4 linked regions of the Saccharomyces cerevisiae S288C genome follow. The gene in region 1 interacts genetically with each later gene. Each region holds a gene or a part of one and is shown on either strand. Other genes may lie near its edges. The genes, in order: SSO2, FAR8, STR2 and FAR11.

Evidence for each region.
Region 2: mutations in SSO2 (region 1) and FAR8 together harm fitness more than expected from each alone (negative genetic interaction), as found in Saccharomyces cerevisiae (2 studies listed by BioGRID).
Region 3: mutations in SSO2 (region 1) and STR2 together harm fitness more than expected from each alone (negative genetic interaction), as found in Saccharomyces cerevisiae (2 studies listed by BioGRID).
Region 4: mutations in SSO2 (region 1) and FAR11 together harm fitness more than expected from each alone (negative genetic interaction), as found in Saccharomyces cerevisiae (2 studies listed by BioGRID).

The regions. Positions count from the first base shown.
Region 1 is NC_001145.3:624,410-629,476, forward strand, and holds SSO2 (syntaxin), read right to left. Parts: upstream 3,400-5,067; coding exon 2,512-3,399; downstream 1-2,511. Other genes in the region: RGM1 (Rgm1p), read right to left, coding at 123-758; MIN3 (Min3p), read left to right, coding at 1,402-1,488; ADD37 (Add37p), read left to right, coding at 3,780-4,376; RTP1 (Rtp1p), read left to right, coding at 4,616-5,067. UniProt on the Saccharomyces cerevisiae protein: Required for vesicle fusion with the plasma membrane.
Region 2 is NC_001145.3:327,064-332,924, reverse strand, and holds FAR8 (Far8p), read left to right. Parts: upstream 1-2,693; coding exon 2,694-4,265; downstream 4,266-5,861. Other genes in the region: EIS1 (Eis1p), read left to right, coding at 1-713; RSF1 (Rsf1p), read right to left, coding at 1,002-2,132; TAP42 (Tap42p), read right to left, coding at 4,343-5,443; YMR027W (putative methyltransferase), read right to left, coding at 5,636-5,861. UniProt on the Saccharomyces cerevisiae protein: Participates in the control of the reentry into the cell cycle following pheromone treatment.
Region 3 is NC_001142.9:662,707-668,723, forward strand, and holds STR2 (cystathionine gamma-synthase), read right to left. Parts: upstream 4,432-6,017; coding exon 2,512-4,431; downstream 1-2,511. Other genes in the region: RSF2 (Rsf2p), read right to left, coding at 1-353; YJR128W (uncharacterized protein), read left to right, coding at 215-574; EFM3 (protein-lysine N-methyltransferase), read right to left, coding at 1,294-2,313; MNS1 (mannosyl-oligosaccharide 1,2-alpha-mannosidase), read left to right, coding at 4,938-6,017. UniProt on the Saccharomyces cerevisiae protein: Catalyzes the formation of L-cystathionine from O-succinyl-L-homoserine (OSHS) and L-cysteine, via a gamma-replacement reaction. In the absence of thiol, catalyzes gamma-elimination to form 2-oxobutanoate, succinate and ammonia.
Region 4 is NC_001146.8:381,171-388,487, forward strand, and holds FAR11 (Far11p), read left to right. Parts: upstream 1-2,816; coding exon 2,817-5,678; downstream 5,679-7,317. Other genes in the region: DGR1 (Dgr1p), read right to left, coding at 75-221; NRK1 (ribosylnicotinamide kinase), read left to right, coding at 310-1,032; TEP1 (putative phosphatidylinositol-3,4,5-trisphosphate 3-phosphatase), read left to right, coding at 1,189-2,493; SPC98 (Spc98p), read left to right, coding at 6,057-7,317. UniProt on the Saccharomyces cerevisiae protein: Participates in the control of the reentry into the cell cycle following pheromone treatment.

The sequences.
Region 1 (5,067 bases):
AACGGCAAGCGATATCAAAATATCTGCATAATAACGGCAATCAACGCGCACGCGAATGGCCAAGAGGGTACAATAGCAGCAATGATGCGGCTTGTGAAATGGAGGAGTGGGTGCGGTAGAGCTTATTTTTTTGCGTTTGGTGAAGCGTCCTTGGCCTGGTCAAAACTTTGCACCTTAGACGGCGATGCTGGAGTGTCACTGCTATCTGGAGGGAGCTCTACAATGTTGTGGTTTTGTATGGGAGTGTGGTTCAGGAAGAGTGGTTGCATATAGCTGTATATTGGTAGTGGAGGAGGCTGATGCGGCAATGGTATGGGAGCAGATGGCATAGGATGAGGGAAGTATGGTGGTGCGTAAAGAGATATAGTGTCTTGTGGGCTAGCAGGAGTTGATATGGGCAGATTGTATGGAACAGGCGCGGGCTGGACAACAATTCCATATGGGCGTAATTGCGGGAACATTCTTGTTGCGTTAGGGTCGTTCGCAGTGCTATTTGCGGACTGCTGCAGTCTACGTAAGGACATCAAATCAACGTCCGAATGAACAGAAGATTGATGTTGTCTTAAGTTATCGATTCTACTGAAGAATTTAAGGCAGATATTGCATTGGAATGGTTTCTCCCCTGTGTGTTTCCTGATATGTCTAGCCAAATGTTCGGTCCTATTGAAACTCATGTTACAATCAGGATATCCCACGCATCTATAATTTCTCTTGACAGAAGCGTTGTCTTTGTTCCTTTTCGGTTGTTTTCCTCTCATGTTTAACCAGTGTCATGCTAATTGTCCTGGACTATAGACGTGAGTGGGGAGGAATAGTGCTATGAAGTCGCAATTGAATCAAGAATACACGAAAGAAAGAGAAGGAGGCGTCTGTTCATATACACACAAACAATAGTTGAAATCAAGAAGATACAATGAAAGAAAAGAGAAGGAAAATAATGTTATAAACGATTGAAGGGATCCGCTGAGGAATGAAAAAAAAAAATAAGAAAGTAAGAGAAGGGAAAAAAAAAAGAAAAAAAGAAAAAAAGAAAAAAAGAAAAAAAGAGGGAATGATCGAAGATAAAAATTCTCAGAAATTTGAGAAGAAGGAAAAACTCTACTTAAATAAAGATAAACTTTTCATGGCTTGAGAGTCCGGCATCCACGTAACTTAATGGTCCGTGCGGTAACATGGCAGGGTGTGCAGGACCCTATGGCTCGAGAAGTTGCTACCGGTGTTTAATTTTTTTTTTATCTTAATATTAGGAAGAGAAAAAGCATCAGTTACGAGACTCCTGAAGGAGCGCCGGAAAGTTTCTTTTTTTTTTTTTTTTTTTTAATTTTTTTTGTGTGGGGAAAGACCGACTACCAGTAATACTTTAAAGATATTATTAAAAGAAATCCCGAAAAAAGAAAGACCATGAGAAAACCGAGTGCGTTTCATGCATGTAACATAATATTTCTTCCCCTCGTTAAGTGTGCATCAGCAACCATAATGCTGAATTAACCGCAAAGGTTACCATAAAGGATCGCATATAAACAAAACTCGCCCTTTCTCCTGCATCCCTTACCGAAAAGGAAAGTTTATATACACTTAAAGGAAAGTGCTACTGTAGGTCGTCAGGCCGTTGATGTACTGCTCTTCGAGACAACTATTGTACCTTAACTGTAAGAATTTGCTCAAGCCCTCAAAAAACACAACGTGCGGGTAACGACAACGAAGTGGGCGCAAGACAAAGATGGAATATCCTATCCGATGGGCACTATAAAAGGCGAAGGGAAAATTAGTTTTTTTTCTTGTCAAGCATTTGCCGAGCGCTTCAATGTTGATTGGTCTAGAAGTAACAATCAAGACAGATAAAGTCTAGTACGTGTGCAGGTTAATGCGCAAGTGAGAAGTGTAGATATTGTAGTTGTGATATTTACTATTCTAACTTGGCGCTATTAACGCTTTCACAACCCAAAAACATCAAGAAAAGCCTTTCAATAAATTGCTCTTCTCTTGGCGAAAGAAAGCGGGGGGCAAAAAGAATCACGGGACTTATGTTTCGGGATCTCTTTGTTTCTTCTTTTTTTCCCGGAGAATAATTTTTTAGGACCAATTACCGTAGTTGCGACTACAACAATTGTTGTTCATACCCCCACGATTTACTTTTTGAAAACTAGTTTTTGGAATAATAATGTTGTAAAATTTCCCTTTTTCCACCCCGATTTGTATTTTATTTTTCGTTACAAAATTGGGACTAATATTAAGGGCGACAGTTTTTCTTAAAAGTAAGATTTTTTACTTAAAAATTCTTGTTCTTAACGAAATTACATACGTATTAAAATTATTTATTAGATAGTCGGTATTGTCTTTTTGTGAAAAAAAAAAATTATAATACTAATTGTTAAAAAGGCAGGTATGAGGAGGGTATAGTAGGAAAGAGAAAAGACGTTACAATTTTTAGGTTTTCGGTTTTAATAGAAATTGTTTGATTACACATAATAGGAATTGGGGGGCTGGCGGGAGGGAGGCGCATGTGCTCTATTACTTTCTTGTTTCCACAACGGATGGAACAACCACAACGACAACAACAATAGCAAAGATAATAAAGCAGATGATCAAACATCTTATTTTGTTTTTTCTTGCTTTTCTGGCACTCTTAACGGCCTTGTTGGTGTGACCCACACCTTGCTCTACATCTTGCTGAGCGTCTTCGACGTTTTTGTCAATGACATCCACATTTTCTTGTTGTTCGATGACCAACTCTTCCATGTCATTGAACAATTGGGTAAGTTCAGCCATTGTTTTTTCCAACTTCAACAACTCTTGATGTCTAGCCTGTACTTCGGCCAATGCTGTCTTGGCCTCACCACGTCTATTGGCGTTTAGCAACGCTTGGGAAAAGATCTGCTGGCCATTGACATCGTTGATGGCGGCTTCCACTTCTTCGTCAGTGGCTTCCGGTTGGATAATTGTGTACTGTCTCTTCGCCTGCTCTTTGCTTTCTTCTTTGTAGTTAGAATCGATAATTCTGTAGTCTTGAATTAATTTTAAGAATTTCTGTCTGCAATTTTCAGCTTGTGCCTGTTTATTAGAGTCGTGCAATCCGTCTCTCTGGGCATCTTTGATATCCGCTTTCAATTGATACTGCAAATCTGTGGCCTGAGAGATGTAATCGTCCAAAGAACGTCTCAATTCCATCTCCTGTTCCTCACTCACTTGAGTAAGTAGGTCTTTGTGTTGCGCATCAATTTGGTTGATAATGTTTTCGTACCTGGACAAGTTAGCATTTATTGAGTTGATCTTGTTCATAAAAGCTACGAAATCGTCGCTACCATCTGAGTGACCAGTAGGAGCATTGTTCAAGTCCTCTTGCATTTCATAGTTTTCAGCGTACGGATTGTTATTCTCATAAGGATTAGCGTTGCTCATTGCTGCAATATTTGTGCGTGTATGGGCAGTTTTCAAATGTAAAGTATTACAATTCCACACTATTCCAGCTCTCTTATGGGTATATTAAACGATTTAACCTGCCAACAGCATTTATTTGTCATTTTACTTGCTTTTTTCATCCATCCATTGAAACTAAAAACGTCAAAAAAGGCCATTTCGTAAACAACGGCCGGGTGATAAGCACGTCGTTTAGGGGGGACCCTTTGCTGCCGCTTGGTACCCGGCTCGTAAGACATAAAGATGCCACATATTTACTTTTAGCTGGCTTCTTTATTCACACAGGCTACTCATAAGAGCTTCAGTAGACGCGCATCTGTCGGTTCTTCGTCAATCTATTTCCGCACATACTATTACGTACGATGGCTATTAAACCAACCAAAAGTTTTCAGAATTGTCTAGAAGCTGAAGTGCCTGGTTATAACGACTGTCCGACAGTTTTGTTTTCTATCGACCCTAATAGCGGACCTAGATCCAAATCTAAACAAAGAACGAAATCGAAAAGATGTGTTAGCGGCAGACTTGCCACAGAAGTGTTAGATCTTTATGGGAACACTAAAACAGCTACTACGCCGCCACCAGTTTTGAGGAGGCCATCTGTAACTGCTGCTCAACAAGAATCTGCCTGTGAAGGTGTGCTCGTAAAAGACCAAGGCGATAGACAGCTCCAGCCGATATTATGCAGTAAAGAAGAATTAGTGGCTAAGATCAACGACCTCTGTGTGTGTGGCTCGAAGCTCTCTTCGAAGGAGTTGGAATTTTACAAGAAAAAATTAGATTCAAACATTACCAAGATTTTACAAAACGAGCACACCAAAACAGTACTATCCCAGATTTTCAATGAAAAAGACAAAAATATGGCCGTGAAAACCATTAAACATTGGATGGTTACTGACACAACAATCTCAAATTGGTGTCCCGCATTCTTAAAAATTTTTGAAAATGCGATGCCTAATTAATCAATAATATTATTATATTTATAAATAGAAGTACACTACGCAGAACATTTTATTTTCTAAAAAAAAAAAGAATTCCTATTGAATAATTAAAAATCAAGGTTACCCGCAGTCTGCTTGAGAAATTTAATAAAAAACATGTAATCATCTCATCGCGTCGAACAGCATATAGCAATAAGGGCTCATCACCGCCTCATGTTTCTTCTTGTCATATCAGATCAAGAAAAACAAAAGGTTGGAAAATGAATGAGGATAAAGAGCAAAAGATCAACATACACGATATATTGAATACAAGACCGAAGCTCACCAAAAAGACAGCCCTAGATGTTTTCTTCGAAGATCTGGATGACAATGTAATTACTCCCATAAACGAATATGTTCTTGATTCAGGCTCATCATCATCCTCTTCCATTTATCAGGCGTTGAAGTGCTCAAATAACAATGAGTTTGTTGCAGTACTTTTACAGAAATTCCAGAATTTGCACATTCACGTACTAGAACAGCAACGGAGGCTCATCGAAAGTAAAAGTGACTTATTGCCTATCTCATTGCATGATATGAAATACGTAGACGAACTGATAAATCTTTTGATTATTCATGGTATAGATGCTAATTTGTCTCCTACGATGAAAATTCCATTCGATTCGAAAAGAATAAATACTTTCAAGAAGGGCCAAAAAAGCGCAGAATATGA
Region 2 (5,861 bases), 300 kb from region 1:
TAGGTCAAACTAAAGAAAGCTTGGAATCCCATTTGAATGATGACGTTATTATTCTTGCTAATAAGGCTAAAGAGCAGGCTGAGTTATCAACCAAGGAGGCCCGTCTGAAGCAATTGGAAGTGGATTCGTTGATTAACGAACGTAAGAGCGAGTTGAACGCGACCGAAATCGAGTTAAAGAAGGAAAAACTAAATTTGTTGGAAGCTATGAAAGATGTTGCTTCTGCACGTGGCGATGATAAGATTGACGAAGAGAAGGTTAAAAAATTGATTGGTATGACTTCTGAGGAGTATTTAACACAAAACAAATCCGTCGAGAAAAATGTTGAAGATTTACCAACCCAACTTGAAAAAATAGAGGAAGGTGATGAACTAAAGAAGGAAGAGATAGTGGGAGCCGAAACGAAAAATTCAGGTGGTGATGGGGTTCCGGTGAGTACTGCCGCAAAAGAAGCTACCGAAACTAGTTCTGCTGTTCAAACAAAGGAACCTGAAGAAAAAATTTCGATCGGAAATAAATCAAGTGGAAAAGAAGACGCTAATGATTGTAAATCAGCGGAGCATTCAAAAGAAATCTCGGTTTCACAGAAAGCAGGAAACAATAAATCATTGGGAGTTAGCCCTGATAGTTTGGAACATACATTTAGTGGCTTTTCACAGGGTTCTTCGATCGAAGACGATCAGGATGCAATTAGTAATCAAGAGAAAAAATAATTGCTAGTGAGCCTAGATAACGAAGAAATGGTGCGGCTAAGATATTGAACAGTTGAGTGGGATACTACAGAATTTTGATAATTAAGATAGTTCTCATCTGCGCTTTAATTATTCTTTTTATGTGTATAATATATGTTTATTGCCTTAATTTAAATTTAATATTTGTATTTTCTTTTTTTTGTTTAATTTGATTACTTTTGCTTATGAAATAGTATATATGGTTGTTTTACTTTTTTTTTTATTTATTTGATCTAAGTTTTATGTATGCAGATTAAAAGCAAGTTTTAATTAATTGGTATGTTGGTTTTGATTATGATTATGAGGAGTACCGCTATTGCTATTGTTTAAATTACTACTGTTGTGTTCCAGTTCATTCACGCCTGGATCAGTTTTGAAGTATACTTCATCCGGCAAAGTATCTGTTGAAATTATTGAATATTTGATGAGCCAATTTCTCATTGGTTGGTAGTCTAAAACAGAAAACGGAATGTTTAAATCGATAAGAATCTCTATCAAGTCGTTCATGGCTATTTTCGATTGAAGTTCTCGAACATTTTGCTGTTGGACCTGGTGGTTGATGAGGCTCGATCCGGTTTCAGGATGATTTCCGTTGACGTCCCCTTTTTTCTTCTTTTTCTTCTCTTTGAATTTGGCATCTGGTTCAACAAGTAAATCACGCATCAATCTAGATTGATAGTCATAGCATTCCTGGAAAAGTGGAGAATTATGATCAAAAAATTCGGTAAAATTATTTGGTGTTAGCTGGACATCGTGAACTTTACTCAAATGTCTTTGATACTTTCTAGAACCATGCTTCTCTCTACTGTTCTTATCTTTCCATATCATTTCTTGATTGCAAATTCGCTTGGTTCTACGGTCATAAAATTGGCAATATGTGTTGATAGTTAGAGGTGATTTAGCAAATAATAGTTTAGATAGATGGTTTCCCTTAATATCTCTTCTCTTGGGAATGGGAAGCTCCAAAGTTTTCATAATGTCTGATCTAAAATTTAGTGTTTCTGAAGACAGTAGCTGCATATTATTCTCTATGAAATCTACCACTTGTTGCTGTTGCCGTTGAACTGCATATTTAGAATCCTTTGTGCTATTCGATTCAATAGTTCCCAGAGGAAGCGACTCATCATGAGTAACGTTGACAGGAGATGACTTGGCAGATACGGTAGCAGAAGAAAAATCTGGCGAGAAGTTCTCTTTTTGCAAATAATCCGGTACCATATTCATATTAAGTATCCTTGGAGTTTCCATCTTGTTGGGCGCCAGATACATCTCCTCACGAGGAGTCCCACTACGGTTGGCAGGAAAATTAGGCAGTGTCGCTATATCAACCATGCCTCTATTGTCTTGAGGAGGGCCTTTAGTGGTAGCAAATTTCCCCATTTCTGGATTTAGGTCCTTCATAACTGCTTGTAGTTCTATCTCCTTGTTTTCGAATAGCTTCTCAGAAAGTAAAAAAAAGGATAATATTACAGTTTTTGATCTACAGAGTCCCTTTTTGTACCCCTCCACTCAAATCGTTCTGATACGTACGTCTCTAGGTGTCAGATGATGGAGTAACTTGCAGATGTTTTACATGCGTTTCTTTTGGTTTACGCGATAATAGTTCCTTATTAAATGTCAAGAAAGTGCTAGTTGCTTCAGTTGTTTTAAGATTGATCTCCACTCTCTGCGTCTTCACATGCGCGGGACAACTTTACAGGAAAACAAGGTTTAAGAGATAACCTATTCGGGTTTTACGTAGGATGATCTATTATAGTCTATTCAGTTTTTACTGCTGCACCATCCCCTAGGCTTCTTTGTTGGGATATGGTATAGTACTCTATTGGTCTTAACTTTGCGATCTTCCCCGTCGCGTAATCTTAGATAAAAGCCACCTAGAACGACTAAATGTGAGGAGCAAGCAACAACATTAATAAAGAAACCCAAAAGAAGTAAGTGCGTGTAGTTAGACCGGAAAACAATATGGCTATTAACCAGGCACATGTTCATCCGCATTACACGTTACCTGGTGTAATGCACTACTTGCAAACGGAGTTCACGAAGAATGAAAGAGATAGAATCACCTGGGAGCTAGAAAGGTCGGAAATGAAAGCAAGAATTGCAGAACTAGAGGGCGAAAATAGAGATTTGAAGCATCAATTGAATCAAATACAATCGAAAGCTGTTTCTCCTGAAGGTGAAAAGGAAGAAAAACATGTGCCTGATTCATTACTGCAGTCTAAGCTAGCTGTTCAAGAAAATGTGAAGGAAATAATTTATTTGTTGAAAGGCCCTAACACGGTCAATCAGTTAGAGTCATTAAATAGCAGAGAAGCGGGTTCTGAATTGCACGATTTAGAGAAACTGAACGTGAATACTCCCAAGGAAGAGGGCAGTGCGAAGACAAATGGGATGGATATTTTAAATAATGCCCTCTTGGACACCAAACCCAATCCAAAGCAAGGTCCTTCAGAGTCACCATCACCAACCAAAGTGAAATCTTTGTTTAGCACAGCCAACAAGCGTGAAAATAATGAAACAATATCCAAGATACACTCGGAATTGTCGAAAGTCGACATTATCAGCTCCTACGGGGACTGTATGGCACTTTATGATGCAGACACCAAATCGTTAGAAATACACCAAGTGGACGCAAACTTGAATTCCAAACTCTTAAAGAAAATATCTTTAGGGCAAGATAGCGACATTATGAAATTTTTCTGGGTTTCGACGTCCAAACTCCTTGTTATTGAAAAGAGTTTCCATTTGAAATTGTTCTCTATTTCTAGCGCATCTTTGATCTCAGATGTGGACCTATTACAAGACTCAGAACAGCCGTTTTCGTCTAGTGATATCATTAATATAGACTTCAAAAATAAATGGTTGTTGATAGCTAGTAAGAATAAATCTCAAATTAGAATCTGGGAATTGGACAATATAGAGGCTCCTGAGGATGTCCCAATTAACATAAAAGAAACATATGAAATAACACATGATAATGATGACGATGATAGTAATGATTCCACAAACATTCTGGATTGTATATTGGGTATAACAGAAAAATCCTTAATATTACTGTCTTCAAATCCATACCAGCTTACCATATATGATTTCGAGGGTAAGCTTCTACAAAAAATTGATTTGAAGATTGATACAATATTATCGGGTAAGCCAGAAGAAGAAGGTTACCATTTATTTTTGGATAGAAAAACTTCTAAGCTACTGATTCAGCTAAGCAATGAGAGATTATTGGTTTATTCTTTTGATAAGAAAAAAGTTGTACTGAAGGAACAATTGACTCCATCGTCAACACTACCAATACAACTCGATTTGAACGACAGCATAATCACCGTATCATATAGTAATGGAGACTTTGAGTTTAGGAATTTAGAAAACCTAAAACCATCCATCGACGAATTTGTCGTAGCAGACATCAACTTCTCGGAAAGAAAAGAGCCTGTGGTATTTTCTTCAAATCTGATTGTAGATTCTACGCCGGTGTTAATCACCGTGAATAAAAATAACGAAGTCCTTTTGCACAAGATTAAAATATAACTGATGTAGGCAGAAAAAAAAATAATATATGAATCTGTCTAATAGATACTTATGTGTACGTATATAGGTATTTTTTTCTATCCTCTATTCATGGTATTTCCGCTTCCCTTAGCATGACTTTCCTTGAACTCGTCCCACTCACGAGCTTTATAGGTTTCTCTATCTTGCCAGTCCATGTTTTCTTCATCTGGTGCTTGCTCTGGTTCTTCGCCACCTTGAAGAACGCGACCTTCTTCAAACTCTTTATCTAAAAATTCCTCCACCGACATTGTTGGTCCATATTGACCATATCCTCGCACTTTTTGTTGCAGTTGTTGCCTTTTGTCGACAAGCGTGAAGTTCCTCAAGACTTGACCTTTTTTGTCTATCAATGGCTTATTTATATTCTCTAATTTATCGGTAAAACCAGTGGAATCATCATCATTCGATTCTTTTCGTATCTGAGTACCTGATGATTTGACTTCATGTACGGAATTTTTGAGGAAATTAGAGAGCATTTCACATTCAAATAAATTCTGTTCAATGTTGTTAATCGTATCAAGACTAAAGTGATGTAACCTCATCAAATATAGTTCTCTTAGTAATTCATCATGGTCGTGGTCCTCGTCGTTGTTTTTTAATTCCAACTCCAAGCAGTGCAGTTTTGTGCTAATTTCTTTATTGCGCTGGAATAGCTCAATCTTTTCTTTTCTCTTCAACTGTGCTCCAGATAAATCTTTGTTATTTTTTGGTTGCGCGTACAATTCGCTAAGCTGAGGGTTATAACGATCCTTGAAGTTACCTAGTTTTTCACCAACCAAAGGATCTAGAAGCTTATAATCCTGCAATAGTGTCAGGAAATTAATGAAAGATTCAACGCTTTTTTTCAGGTAAATCAATTTCATAGACTGCCTTTGAGCAACATCCGAATCATTCGACTGTCGTCTTGATATCAATAATCCTAAATAGTAATCAACTGCTAGAAATTTGATGGAAGCAGTAGACACATCATCAATGGTCTCATTAGTACTGAACAATGCCAACCTGTCAAAAATTGCTGTTTTTAAGTTTAATAATTTCTTGATCGTGGAAAGTAATAATCCCTGGTACTCTGGTGAATCTTGCCTCAAAGATGTGTGTTCCAATTTTGTTGAGTATAAGCTAATAATATCGTTGAATTGTTCTGTTACTGACGCCATGTTTATGATCTCTCCTCGTTATTACTTTCTTCCTCTTCTTTCGCCATTGATTGTAATTTGTCCTTAGGAGCTTTCTTTTTTTTATCAGAAGTACATAAAATAAAAGGCACGTACTAAAAATCTATGTGCTTTTTTGGAACATTTCATAGGGAAAGTCATAAAGTAAAGTTATATAGAGAACTTATCATATTCTTATTTATGTATACCAGAGCAGAAACAAATGACTGCCCATTTACCGCTACAACACCACCAAGAACCACGGCCAGGATTTTCCTTTTCCCATTCTTGACTTAATTTCGCGTCTAGACCTTCAGGTAAAGCAACTTGTACATCGGCTTTACAGGTTCTCAAGCTCAATGATGTAATACCATTCGTAGCAAGAGGTCCGATAGCCGTTTCCCATTTAGTGGTGCGGGGC
Region 3 (6,017 bases), on another chromosome or scaffold:
ACAAACATACTTGGCTCCGGCACTAATAAAAAATCTTTATCTGCCCTATCTATTCTAGTATCGCCAATGTCTTTTAGCTTCTTCGCCCTAAAGTTTCTTTTTGGTGCAAGAGTCTTCGAGAAAAACGTGTGTTGAGAGAGGCAATGTTTAACGAAGAAAAAAAACTCTATGGAAATCCAAGAAGTCCTTGTTTCTTTGTTTTCGTTTCTAATATATGCAGGGTCAAGCGGGAAAAAGAAAGACAGACGGAAAAGTGCCCAGCAACACGGAACAAAATTGTCCAGATTTATTCGAGCGGCCGCGGTTAGTATGCATAATGCAGGCGCCCCTCGTCCAAATGCGAACGGTTCCATCCGAAACAGGCCATTTCCCAAAAATTATTTCTCTTAATAGAAGTTGCTCGCGTAGTTACCTATTGTCGATGCCGCATACGCAGTTACCTTATCCGTTGCCCTACGGAGAATTTCCGCGATGCAGCACCGTGCGGCGAGATCACAATTTTCCTTGTACACTCTACTCTGCCCCTGGAGTGGTTCACCCCCGTCTGTGCGTATTTTCGTGTATGATGATATAAGGTCGTTACTACCGTTGATTCAAAAACAGTTGCTTCTTCCATATATTGTAGCACGAACAACTATGGCCGGCCGCAAATTGCGACAATTACACCTAACGCAGCATTAAGGTCGCAGGAAATGTTATCTGCCGAGCTGTTTATCTCTGTTTTCCAAGATTTTTTCAACCAGCCCATGAGTCTGCTGTTGGCGGCAACCCAGTTACAGATAATGGTGCATGTGATAAGCTTCGTACCACTATTCGTAGTTTGTTACATCTTGTAAGCCAGTATATATATTTGTTAGATTGTGCCCTAACGTTCCAGTAATTGAAGGGTAACCGAGGTTTCCGTGGAAAAAAACCGTGTATAAGCAAGAGGTTCCGAGCGAAAAAAAAAAGTATAAAAGAAAGCACAGGCAATGAGATTTGTTTTTCGCTTTTCCTTCTTATTTGTTAATTCTATTTTTGAAGTTTCCTTCCGAAAAAAAGTAACTTTGTCCTAAAGTACTAATCCACCGCATTAGACAGTACGAAGATCGAGCTATTTATTTGAACACTCGGTCTTATTCGTGATAAGCGTAATGTGGAGAGATCAATTTCCGGGTCATTTATAAGAACTCGAGTGGATTGCTAGTTGTTTTGATTAGCTGAATGAGACTCGAGTGTCAGAAGATGACTATATTTTTTTTCTTTTTTTTTTTAGTTATGTTTTATTTTTGAACTTGTACTTGCACATGTATCTTATTGTTTCGTGATCTTGTAGATCCGTATGGGTGCAATCAAAGGTTTGAATTGCAGGGCTTTCATCGCGCGGATCTCGTTGTTTGCGTCGTACTCTGTGCTGGTGACTATGGTACATTTTAGCCCGAGTTTATTGCACTCTTGAGAAAACAGTTGGACAGTGGATTCGCTTCTAATTGTCGCGGATAGGAGACACAGTTTGCATCGGTCTAAAGCAAGACATTCGGCCAGACACTCGCATAGATCAGGAAGGATAGTTGGGTCATACGTAACATCTGCCCCCACTACTAAATCTATATCCTCAGGAACTCTATCGCTGCCCCACCATAATCTTTGCAACTTGATGTCTGGTTCGTTCTCACGCACTTCATTGTTCAATTCAAAATTTCTTTTCAGCTGCGTCTCAACGAGATTCGAATCACCATCCGTGACGTACATCTTATTTACGAACTCGTGATACTTTTGTAAAATGACGAGACTCACTATGCCTGTGCCAGCGCCGACCTCAAGAACATTTAATTTTTTCTTGCCATCGTCTTGTCCTTGTACCGGTGCCAACTCTTGTAAGGGCTTATGAATAAGGAAATCACCCATGTATAAGGCAGCTTCCCATGTCCTGAAACCTGTAGTACTGGCCGCACTGATCAAATTCGGTGTTTCCTCAATTTTGATCTTTACGTCCTCGTCAAACCTGTACCTCACGACGTCTTTCATCATCGGGTCTGGCTTGCCTGTGCTTAATAGTTTTATGTACTTCTCATAGAGATAATCATATATCTCTATCTCGTCTTCGCCATCGTTGACAATTGTGAATGCCTTCGCGAAAATCCATTCGTGGTCTAAGAGCATCTTGACTATGGTTTTGCAATAATATGCATTCGTCTTTTGCACAAGTTCCATCTCACAAACAAATCTCGATGCATGCAGGACATCGTTAGATTTGCTTGTTTCCAACTCTTCTAGCAAGTATTTTCCAGGGCACCGCTGATGTAATCTATCGTAGAATAGATCTTCATTCATGTTATCTTTGACGAGGAGGGTCAAGTTTTACTAGCTCGATTTTTCTGCTTTCTTTTCCTTTTTCATTTACTTATACATTCTTCATCATTTTTGCGATGATGTACTAACTGCTAGTATTTATTTCGCTGTTTGTCGTGTCCGGACAATCAGCATTAAAATTTTCTACAGAGTTTTCTAATACATATAAACATTTTGGCTTTATTCCCCTAAAGCTTTCTCAATGGCACGCTGAAAAACATTGCATAAAACGTCGCTATTTTCCAAACCGACGCTCACTCTTACAAGATTTGTTTCGACACCATATTGAGCTACCTCGTCTAATTCCTGGTAGTGGGCAATAATAGCATATGGACACGCCAAAGTGAAATTCGTACCGAGAGAAGGTCCTTTGCACAATTCCAGATTATTGAAAAACTTCTTTGCCTCTTCAATATTGAAAAAAGTTAGTGAAAATAAACCTCCATACCCACCATCTTTTGTAGACATAACGCTGTCATAATTCCGCTTGGTATCCTCTGATGTTAAACTGGGGTAATATATTTTCTTGAACAATTTTCCCACCTGAGGCAATAACACCCTTTTTAACAATATATCAGTGTTTGTATTCACCTTGATTGTACGTTCCACGAAGTCTCTCGAATTTCTTTCCAGGCATAACGCATCTTCGCACCATAGGCAATCTTCATATCCGTCTTCAGTCTTCATAAATTTTCTAGCAAACTCATAAATCTTTCCTCTAGGATTTAGTACTAAGGATCCTGCAATAACGTTCGAGTCGCCGCTGAAGATTTTCGTTAGCGAACTACAAACAATATCGGCATACGGTAATACATCTATATTGACAAAGCCACCCACAGTTTCATCGACCACTATGTAAAATGAATACAAGTCTGATAGCCTTTTCAGTTCTTGTAAATCTCCCATTTTCAACAGTGGGTTCGATGGAGCTTCTATAAATACCGCCAGTATTTGCTCACCAGAATGTAAAATATTTTTCAGAGCGTTCATTGACGTTGAATCTCCCTGTCCCAAGAAATGTGTGTGATTGAACTTCCGAAGAATGCTCAGAGTATCTGTATATGGGAATCCAAACATGACGGTCTTCTTGAACGGAGGTCCATATCCAATCAACTTATCTTGTCTACTAGAAGACCTTGATAAGCGCTTGGCATCGAAGTTTAAAAGCAGCCTGTGGGCAGTGAAAATGGACGCCATTCCACTTGGAAATAAGTAAACATCCGTATTAGGGTTGACATGAAACTTCAAGTCATCGGTAGCTGTGTTTTCAAAAGTACTGTTTGAGCCACTTTCTCCCATAGAAGTAATTGTTTCGGCAGGTATGTCCGAATTCAACTGATCATCATCCAGAGCCTCTCCACTGCCAACATTGAATGGACCGTTGCTCTCGTTATAGTGTTCAAAAGAGAATAGGTCCGATAGACCTTCAGAGTCAATTTTTTCAACAACTTTTGTGGCAATCCTCTTTCGTATTAGATATTTGGCTTTATCAGCAGCAAGAAAATTTAAATTTCTCCCAAATCTCGTTTCTATATATTCTTCGTTCACTCTGTTTTCATCTTCGGTCATAAATTTTTTACCGTTATCCACTGTTTCCATCTTCTTAAGATTATCCTTGACTTGTAATTCATGTAAAATATACTCCGCCATTCTGCTAGATACAATCTCACCAGAATGTTGCCAATACTGCTTCATCACGGGGAATATTTCCTGGTCTACAAACACCACCGTGATTTTACATTCCCTTCTCCAGAGCTTTTCCTCTTGGTTCATAGGTTTAGGTGTACATAGTTGTAAGATGCGTACTTTGGTAGAAAGACCCGTTTTCACTTTGATAAACTCTCTGCACCTATTGGCAACCTTGTAAGAGGGGAAGCAAAGACAAGCTTCATCTTCCATGGAGTACTTAGCGGATAAAATTTCACATAATTTCTTTATTGACTTGTGTATGAAAAATCTTGGATATCCGGTAGTAAGCGAGTTAATTATACTGCTTTCACCCTCTTCATAGCCTACTGTAGCTTCCCATGTGGGCAAACACACGGAAACAGCATGTTTTGTGTTGGGCGGAATAGATTCACCAATGGTTCTAGATATCATTTTTTCTTCTGTTCCTCTTCTCTCTCTTGTTTATGTAGGTCCCGAATCGGCACATGAGCGTCATTCTACTATCGTTATATATATGGGTATATATATATATATATATCCAAAATATATGACTAATTTTTAGACCGAGATATTGTGAAGTGCAGAGGCGCTATCATGATTTTTGTTTTTTACATCCACGCATGAAGATAAGTCATATTTACTAGGTTTGAAGGGTTTTACCTGAACAACACTGGCAATCATTGAAGTTAATTGAGTTCTTAAACCGCAAGATATTTTAATATGAATACTGCTATTTTTAAATAAGACTGTAGCAAAATGTGGGGTTAAACTTTTACAAATTCACTTTGGTTGTAACGCATTTTCTGTGGAAGAGCAATTATTTGGAATTTTCAGTTTCGCCAAACGAAAGAATGAAAGAAATGTGCTTTGCCAAGAAACGAAAGACGACAGAAAAAGGTAGTAAAAGAGGAAAAGGTTAAACATTGAAAAAGGATTCTATGAAGAACTCTGTCGGTATTTCAATTGCAACCATTGTTGCTATCATAGCAGCTATATACTATGTGCCATGGTACGAACACTTTGAGAGAAAGTCACCGGGGGCCGGAGAAATGAGAGATCGGATTGAAAGCATGTTCTTGGAATCGTGGAGAGACTATTCCAAGCATGGCTGGGGATACGATGTGTATGGACCTATTGAGCACACTTCCCATAATATGCCTCGTGGCAACCAGCCGTTAGGCTGGATTATCGTAGATTCAGTGGATACCTTGATGTTAATGTATAACTCCTCCACACTATACAAAAGTGAGTTCGAGGCAGAAATTCAGAGATCGGAGCATTGGATAAACGATGTTTTGGATTTTGATATTGATGCCGAAGTGAATGTTTTTGAAACTACTATTAGAATGCTAGGTGGTTTATTATCCGCATATCATCTATCTGATGTTTTAGAAGTAGGTAATAAGACTGTCTACTTGAACAAAGCAATAGATTTGGGGGATAGGCTTGCTTTGGCGTTCTTATCCACTCAGACCGGAATTCCATACTCAAGTATAAACCTTCATAGTGGCCAAGCGGTTAAGAACCATGCAGATGGGGGGGCATCTTCTACCGCAGAATTCACTACGCTACAAATGGAATTCAAATATCTGGCGTATTTGACAGGAAATCGTACTTATTGGGAGCTGGTGGAGCGTGTTTACGAGCCATTATACAAAAATAACGATCTTCTAAATACCTACGATGGATTGGTTCCAATTTATACATTTCCAGATACTGGGAAGTTTGGTGCTTCGACTATCCGGTTCGGATCAAGAGGTGATTCTTTTTATGAGTATTTACTAAAACAATATTTATTGACGCACGAAACACTTTATTATGATCTGTACAGAAAATCCATGGAAGGTATGAAAAAGCATTTATTAGCACAATCCAAACCCTCTTCTCTGTGGTACATTGGGGAAAGAGAACAAGGTCTACATGGACAACTTTCTCCTAAGATGGACCACCTCGTGTGCTTTATGGGGGGATTGTTAGCATCAGGCTCTACTGAGGGCCTTTCTATTCATGAAGCCCGA
Region 4 (7,317 bases), on another chromosome or scaffold:
TATATATCTGACATAAAAAGATTTCTGAAGTTATCGTCAGATAAGAAGATGGAGTCAAAATGTAAACAATAACTTTAACCTATATAAATTTTCTTACATTTGCTTTTAAATACTCGAAGATTTGCATTGAACGATCGTTGCCGTTGACTCATTTGAAACAGAAAAACAATACACGCAGGAAAGGAACGGCAGTTGGTCTGAGAAACAAAACCAACTTGCATTTTAGGCTGTTCCGATAGTTTATCAGAGTAAGGGAAAAAATAGCGTGCAAAAGCTATCGAAGTGTGAGCTAGAGTAGAACCTCAAAATATGACTTCGAAAAAAGTGATATTAGTTGCATTGAGTGGATGCTCCTCCAGTGGTAAGACGACAATTGCGAAACTTACAGCAAGTTTATTCACGAAGGCTACATTAATTCATGAAGATGACTTTTACAAACATGATAATGAAGTGCCAGTAGATGCTAAATATAACATTCAAAATTGGGATTCGCCAGAAGCTCTTGATTTTAAACTTTTCGGTAAAGAATTAGATGTGATCAAACAAACTGGTAAAATAGCCACCAAACTTATACACAATAACAACGTAGATGATCCCTTTACAAAGTTCCACATTGATAGACAAGTTTGGGACGAGTTAAAGGCTAAGTATGACTCTATTAATGACGACAAATATGAAGTTGTAATTGTAGATGGGTTTATGATTTTCAATAATACTGGAATATCAAAAAAATTTGATTTGAAGATATTAGTGCGTGCTCCCTATGAAGTACTAAAAAAAAGGAGGGCTTCCAGAAAAGGATACCAGACTTTGGATTCTTTCTGGGTGGATCCGCCGTATTATTTCGACGAATTTGTGTATGAATCTTATCGTGCAAATCATGCGCAGTTATTTGTTAATGGAGACGTAGAAGGTTTACTAGACCCAAGGAAGTCAAAGAATATAAAAGAGTTCATAAATGATGATGACACTCCAATTGCGAAACCTTTAAGCTGGGTGTGCCAAGAGATTCTAAAGCTTTGTAAGGATTAGGAAAGCGCCACAAAATCGATGAGAAGTATAAAAAAAAAAAAGTAAAAACAATAAAAATAAGAATGTGTACCTCGATAGATAACTTAAATAAGACAATTTCAGAACCACAATATTGATAACACCATCCCGATTTTTGAAATTATTTTTTTGGTGTAAATGAGAGAGGAGGGGAGTGAATTAGAAATGGAAAAAGGCTTCCTTAAATGGAAACCAGTCAACTTGATGAAGAAAATATTGTCTTTACCAATGAAAAAAACTAAAAACGATATAGGTTTGAGATTAGATATATCATATATTTTAGTTAATCTAATAGTCTGCTCATACCCGGTAAACACGTATCCAAAACTGCTTTATAGGAATAGCTTGGATGACTTAATATTGTTTCTAACAGTGTACCATGGCAAGGGAAATTTTAGAATTTTTAATTTTAGAGGTGAGAAAGAAGACAGCGATTATAAAGATAATGATCTTATTGGTATCGCTGCCAAGTTTGAGAGCAAAGATTTTGAAATTCAAGAATTACGTTCGACGCTGATTAATGATGGAAAGATACCAATATCACCCATTGATCTCGAAACAAGGACCTTGGTCGAAGAAGAAACCAATAATGTAATTTGTGAAAGGATCGGTTGGCTAGATCATTTTCCACCGCCATTTGAACTGCTGGAAGAGATTGTAGATGGTATAGAAAATTACCTGTCCGTTTCGAAGAATAGAGTGGCTGTTTTACATTGTCGAATGGGGAAAGGCCGATCTGGTATGATAACAGTAGCATACCTCATGAAATACTTGCAGTGTCCTCTTGGAGAAGCAAGATTGATATTCATGCAGGCTAGATTCAAGTATGGTATGACGAATGGCGTCACCATACCCTCTCAATTAAGATACTTAAGGTACCATGAGTTTTTTATTACCCATGAAAAAGCAGCCCAAGAAGGAATTTCTAATGAGGCGGTAAAATTCAAATTTAAATTCAGGCTTGCTAAAATGACGTTCCTCCGCCCATCAAGCTTAATCACTTCCGAGTCTGCTATTGTAACTACTAAGATTCAACACTACAACGATGATAGAAATGCCCTCCTAACCCGAAAAGTAGTATATTCAGATATCATGGCGCATGAATGCGGTGGTAATATGACCTTCATTTTTGGTAGGGACTACTTAACACTGGAAAATGATTGTCGTATAGAATTTACCCTGGGGACCAGCAAGTCCAAAGCCGCCAGTAGCATAATATCTTGGACTTCATGCGCCAGCTGTTGGCTGAATATATACCTTGAGACTTTGATGCACATAATTAAAGACGATTCTTCGCCAGATTACTTTCAAGTAGAGAGGTTAAAGAGAGACGAAATGCTTGGGACAACCATAAGCTGGCAAGAGCTGGACGGTTTTGGGGAGCTCAGCACTCACGGCTTGAAATTATTTCAGGCACTGAAATTGGAATGGGAAATTATATAGGTTTATGCATTTCGTCAAATCCATTCATTCGTTAAACTTAGTTAAAAGTGTTATATTTATTGTGAATTGGTTTGTTTTGGTAGGCTTTTTTCTATATTATGTATTCTTTTCCTTTTCTTCAATATTCTTGTATGGTACTTTAATTTACTGGCAGGTATTTTTTGGAGCGGTCAATTATATGAATCAAAACGCCATTCTAGAAACAGGAAGAAATATATGAGAACCAAGGAGTAGGTTGAAAGGCATTGTAGAGAAATTTTATTAGTATTTATAGCCGAAGAAGAAGGTTAAGTGACAAATTTTCATTTATAAGCCTCGCTAAAATGAATGCTAGTGGAAGATCTCATTCCAAAGGCCCCATTATAAGGTCTGTGTCTTTAGAAGATCTTAAGAGAAACTCTAGTTTCAAAGGCAATCTAAAGTACAAAGATGAAGTCACTTCACATAAAGAACCACAGGTCGGAACATTGAGCAACGAAGAACTGCTAAAAGATTTGGACAACATGTTGCGCGGTAAACTGAACATGGGAAGAAACAGTTTTCATGCCGATAAAAGAAATAAATCAGATGGAAATATCAGTGCCTTAACCTTCAAGGCAAGATCAGGTCTTGAGGGAGATATTCGTACCATAGATATACAGCAAGATAGTAGTGATGAAAATGATAATTTTAAGTTCAGTGATGATGGCGTTAATAAGGATAGAAATAATGAGAAAGATAATAATACTGATAACGCCGTTGAATTTCAAGACGATGCTGAAGAAGCTGAAGAGGAGAATGAGGATGAATCATTTGCTAATGTAGATGAACTGGATGGCTTTGATTTGAATAAGGTTTCTGATGGCAAGCATGTTCCTATCAATGAAAAGGGCGAAGTTGATTATAATATGCCGGTAGATAAAGAATTTCAGAAATCACTTGACCAGTGCGCAGCTTCACTTGAGGAAAGATCAAGTGCACCTTATGCTTTACAAAGAGCAGTGGACTGGGAATTGAAGATGTTTTATTCTTTGGAAGATGAACTGTCGGAATGGTTTTGCAGCTCTGATTATATGCATTTTGGACAGACACAGACTCTGTTTAAACAGAAAATTACGCAACCACAATTATTCTTTGATGATGAAAACTATGCTGCGAGCGTAGTTGAATGTTTAATTGAAGACATCCCCAATTCTTTAGCATCTAATTTACTCGCATTATCATATATTTCTATGGGATGCTTTGCGTTTACGAATAGCAAAAGTGAGCATACAAAGATTATACGACGCAACAATTTAATGCTTGTTCCTCATATTCAAGAAATTGTTCATGCCTTCAAGAAGATTGCAATAAGTTGTAGGGATGACAACAGAAATTTAAAGAAACAAACAATTTTGCTATTTCATTCGTCAACAATCCTATACTTCATATGCAGTATTTGTATAGAAGGTAGAGGAGAAAATCCGGAAGCAGTAAATGTTGTTATCGACGCTTTTGAGAAAACAGATTTGTTGGAATTTTTAACAAAGTATATTGAAAATTGGAGGTGGAATAGCAGATTAGCTATGCGCATAAGAAATATGATTTCTTTGCTCTTCAAGCTTATTGTATTACAATTTGGTGACAGTTCTGTCTACAAACAGACCAAATCATCTATTTATAATCTCCATGGCTTAACATATCCATCAAAGCATCCAGAAAAGCTTTCTATCTCCCCATTACATTATCAAGCATTCAGGGAGGACATTACTTCCCGTTTTCCTGATTACAATATGCCCAGTTCTGGCTTACCTAAAGATGTTGACAAATCAGAATCTCTTTCCCAGTTTCTGGAAATTCCTCGTCCAAAATCAAAGAATCCTCTAAATATGGCGCTCATTGTTCCTGAAAAACATATTGCTACACCTGCTCCTTCACCGCCAAGCTCTCCACAATTAATGCATTTAGGTGAAGGTCCTAGACCTCGTAAATCTTTCCAAACAAACATGGCATATCCGTGTTTGTATCCATCTGATAATGAAGGATCTGAAGATGACACTCTGGAAGATAGGATAGATTTAAATATAGAGAGAAAACCTGATAACGATATAGTTATTCCATTCAGTACCGAAGAGGCAGCGAGAATATTAAGCGAGAGTTTAGAAATTAAGCTGAGTACAAAACAACTTTGGTACGAAAGGGACTTATTCATGATAACTGAACGTGGTTGGAAACAGCAATTAGAAAATGAGCCATATGATTATGCCGCGCTTAATCATGATGCAAACTCTTCAAAAGAGGAAAAAAGTGCGATTTGCATTATGCAGCGAATTGACAAATATTATAAGAGCTGCCTTTCGAGCTTTAACTCTCTTGTTTTTGTCTTACTGCAAACAATGGAATCAAGCTTGACAAATAACTTTCATAGGAAAAGTGAAGTCTCCGATAAAAATCTTCTAAATATGCTGACACCCCAATTGGAGATCGTGAGAGCTAAGGAATTGTCCCTAAAGTCAGCAGCGGGCATATTACATGCGTTATTGAAGTGGTTTAAGTTAAGCCATATTTTGAAATTTGAACACTTGGCGGTAGTTATTCACGATTCGCGATACATCAACACATGCGCATCTATTTTAAGCAAATATTCTGAGGTTTATCCAGAGAGGGTTTTCAATAAATATGTACAAACCCCGAATTCATTTTGGAAGGAGTGTTCTCTCTCTAACGAGTCTTATCGTGAATCCTATTCAGTAGATGACTCAGGAGAGGTCGACACGGAGATTATGCCTTCGTTTGCATATCTGTTAAGAATCTTGAGAAAAGTCACAGGGAATAAAACACAAAGGTTAAAGGAGCTGCCCCTCTCCATCGGCATTCTATTTAAACGCTATTATCGGCTCTTCAACCTTGACATGTATCATCCAATATTGAAAATAACAAGAGAACTCACACCATTCAAAAACAAGAGGTGGAAATCCGAGCATATGGAATTGATATCGGGGGTTTACCTTTATGAAAAGCTGGAGTTAACTGATAATTGGGTAACAGGGAAGGATATATCAGGAGAGTTGAGCGATGCTTGTGGTCAAGAAATTGCACTCCGGGCCTTGCTTCAATTTTACAATTTTCAACACTATGAAATATCTATGGAGGACCTTGGATATGGACACCGTAATAGTTCCAGCCAAGATCTGTTAAACAAGGAATCCGAGTATTTGAATATTTAAATCTCTACTTACGGATACCGAGGCTCGGGGCGCGATGTTATTGTCATTAACAATCTCCTATCCCTCCCTATGTTTATATAGTTTTCAATGGAGGAGCATGAAAACCCCTTAAATAGTGTTTATTTGATCGCGCAATGGTGATGATTGGATCTTCATATCACAAGTGGGATACTAGGACAACCGTTGTTGGATTTCTATTATCATAATATATACGGGTAACGATTTTTGATGCGTCGCGTTTGTAAACAAAACTAAACAAAACAAACAAATATACTCATTTGATGGCTTCATCTGCATATAAGAAATAGAAGAGCCAGAATACTAAGCATAACCATAATATATATTACAGTCTATTTCAGTTGTAGCTGAAAAATCAATATGGAACTAGAGCCCACTCTTTTTGGTATAATAGAGGCATTGGCTCCTCAATTATTGTCGCAGAGTCATTTGCAGACATTTGTATCTGATGTAGTCAATTTACTGCGATCATCCACCAAATCGGCAACTCAATTAGGCCCTTTAATTGATTTTTACAAATTACAATCACTAGATTCGCCTGAAACAACAATTATGTGGCATAAAATTGAGAAATTTCTCGATGCTTTATTTGGAATCCAGAACACCGATGATATGGTAAAGTACCTCTCTGTCTTTCAATCTTTGCTTCCATCAAATTACAGAGCAAAAATTGTCCAAAAATCATCTGGGCTCAATATGGAGAACCTTGCTAACCATGAACATTTACTTAGCCCAGTGCGGGCTCCAAGTATATATACAGAAGCTTCATTTGAAAACATGGACCGATTTTCTGAAAGAAGGTCCATGGTATCTTCGCCTAATCGTTACGTTCCCTCTTCAACCTACAGTTCTGTTACTTTGAGACAGTTGTCAAATCCTTATTATGTGAACACTATACCCGAGGAAGATATCCTAAAATACGTATCATATACATTATTAGCTACGACATCGGCACTATTTCCGTTTGATCATGAGCAAATACAAATTCCGTCTAAGATACCCAATTTTGAGAGTGGACTTTTACATTTAATATTTGAAGCGGGTTTATTATATCAAAGTTTGGGTTATAAAGTGGAGAAGTTTAGGATGTTGAATATATCTCCAATGAAAAAAGCATTGATTATAGAAATTTCAGAAGAATTACAAAACTACACAGCATTTGTGAACAATCTGGTCTCTTCAGGGACAGTAGTGTCATTGAAATCGTTATATCGTGAAATATATGAAAATATAATAAGGCTTCGAATATACTGTAGGTTTACAGAACACCTTGAAGAATTGAGCGGAGATACATTCTTGATTGAATTAAATATTTTCAAATCCCACGGAGATCTTACTATAAGAAAAATAGCAACGAATTTGTTTAATTCAATGATTTCTCTTTATTATGAGTATTTAATGAATTGGTTGACTAAAGGTCTACTCCGAGCTACTTATGGAGAATTCTTCATTGCTGAAAACACTGATACAAATGGTACAGACGATGATTTTATTTACCACATTCCTATAGAGTTCAACCAAGAAAGAGTTCCGGCCTTCATACCGAAAGAGTTGGCATATAAAATATTCATGATCGGCAAATCGTATATCTTCCTAGAAAAGTACTGTAAAGAGGTTCAAT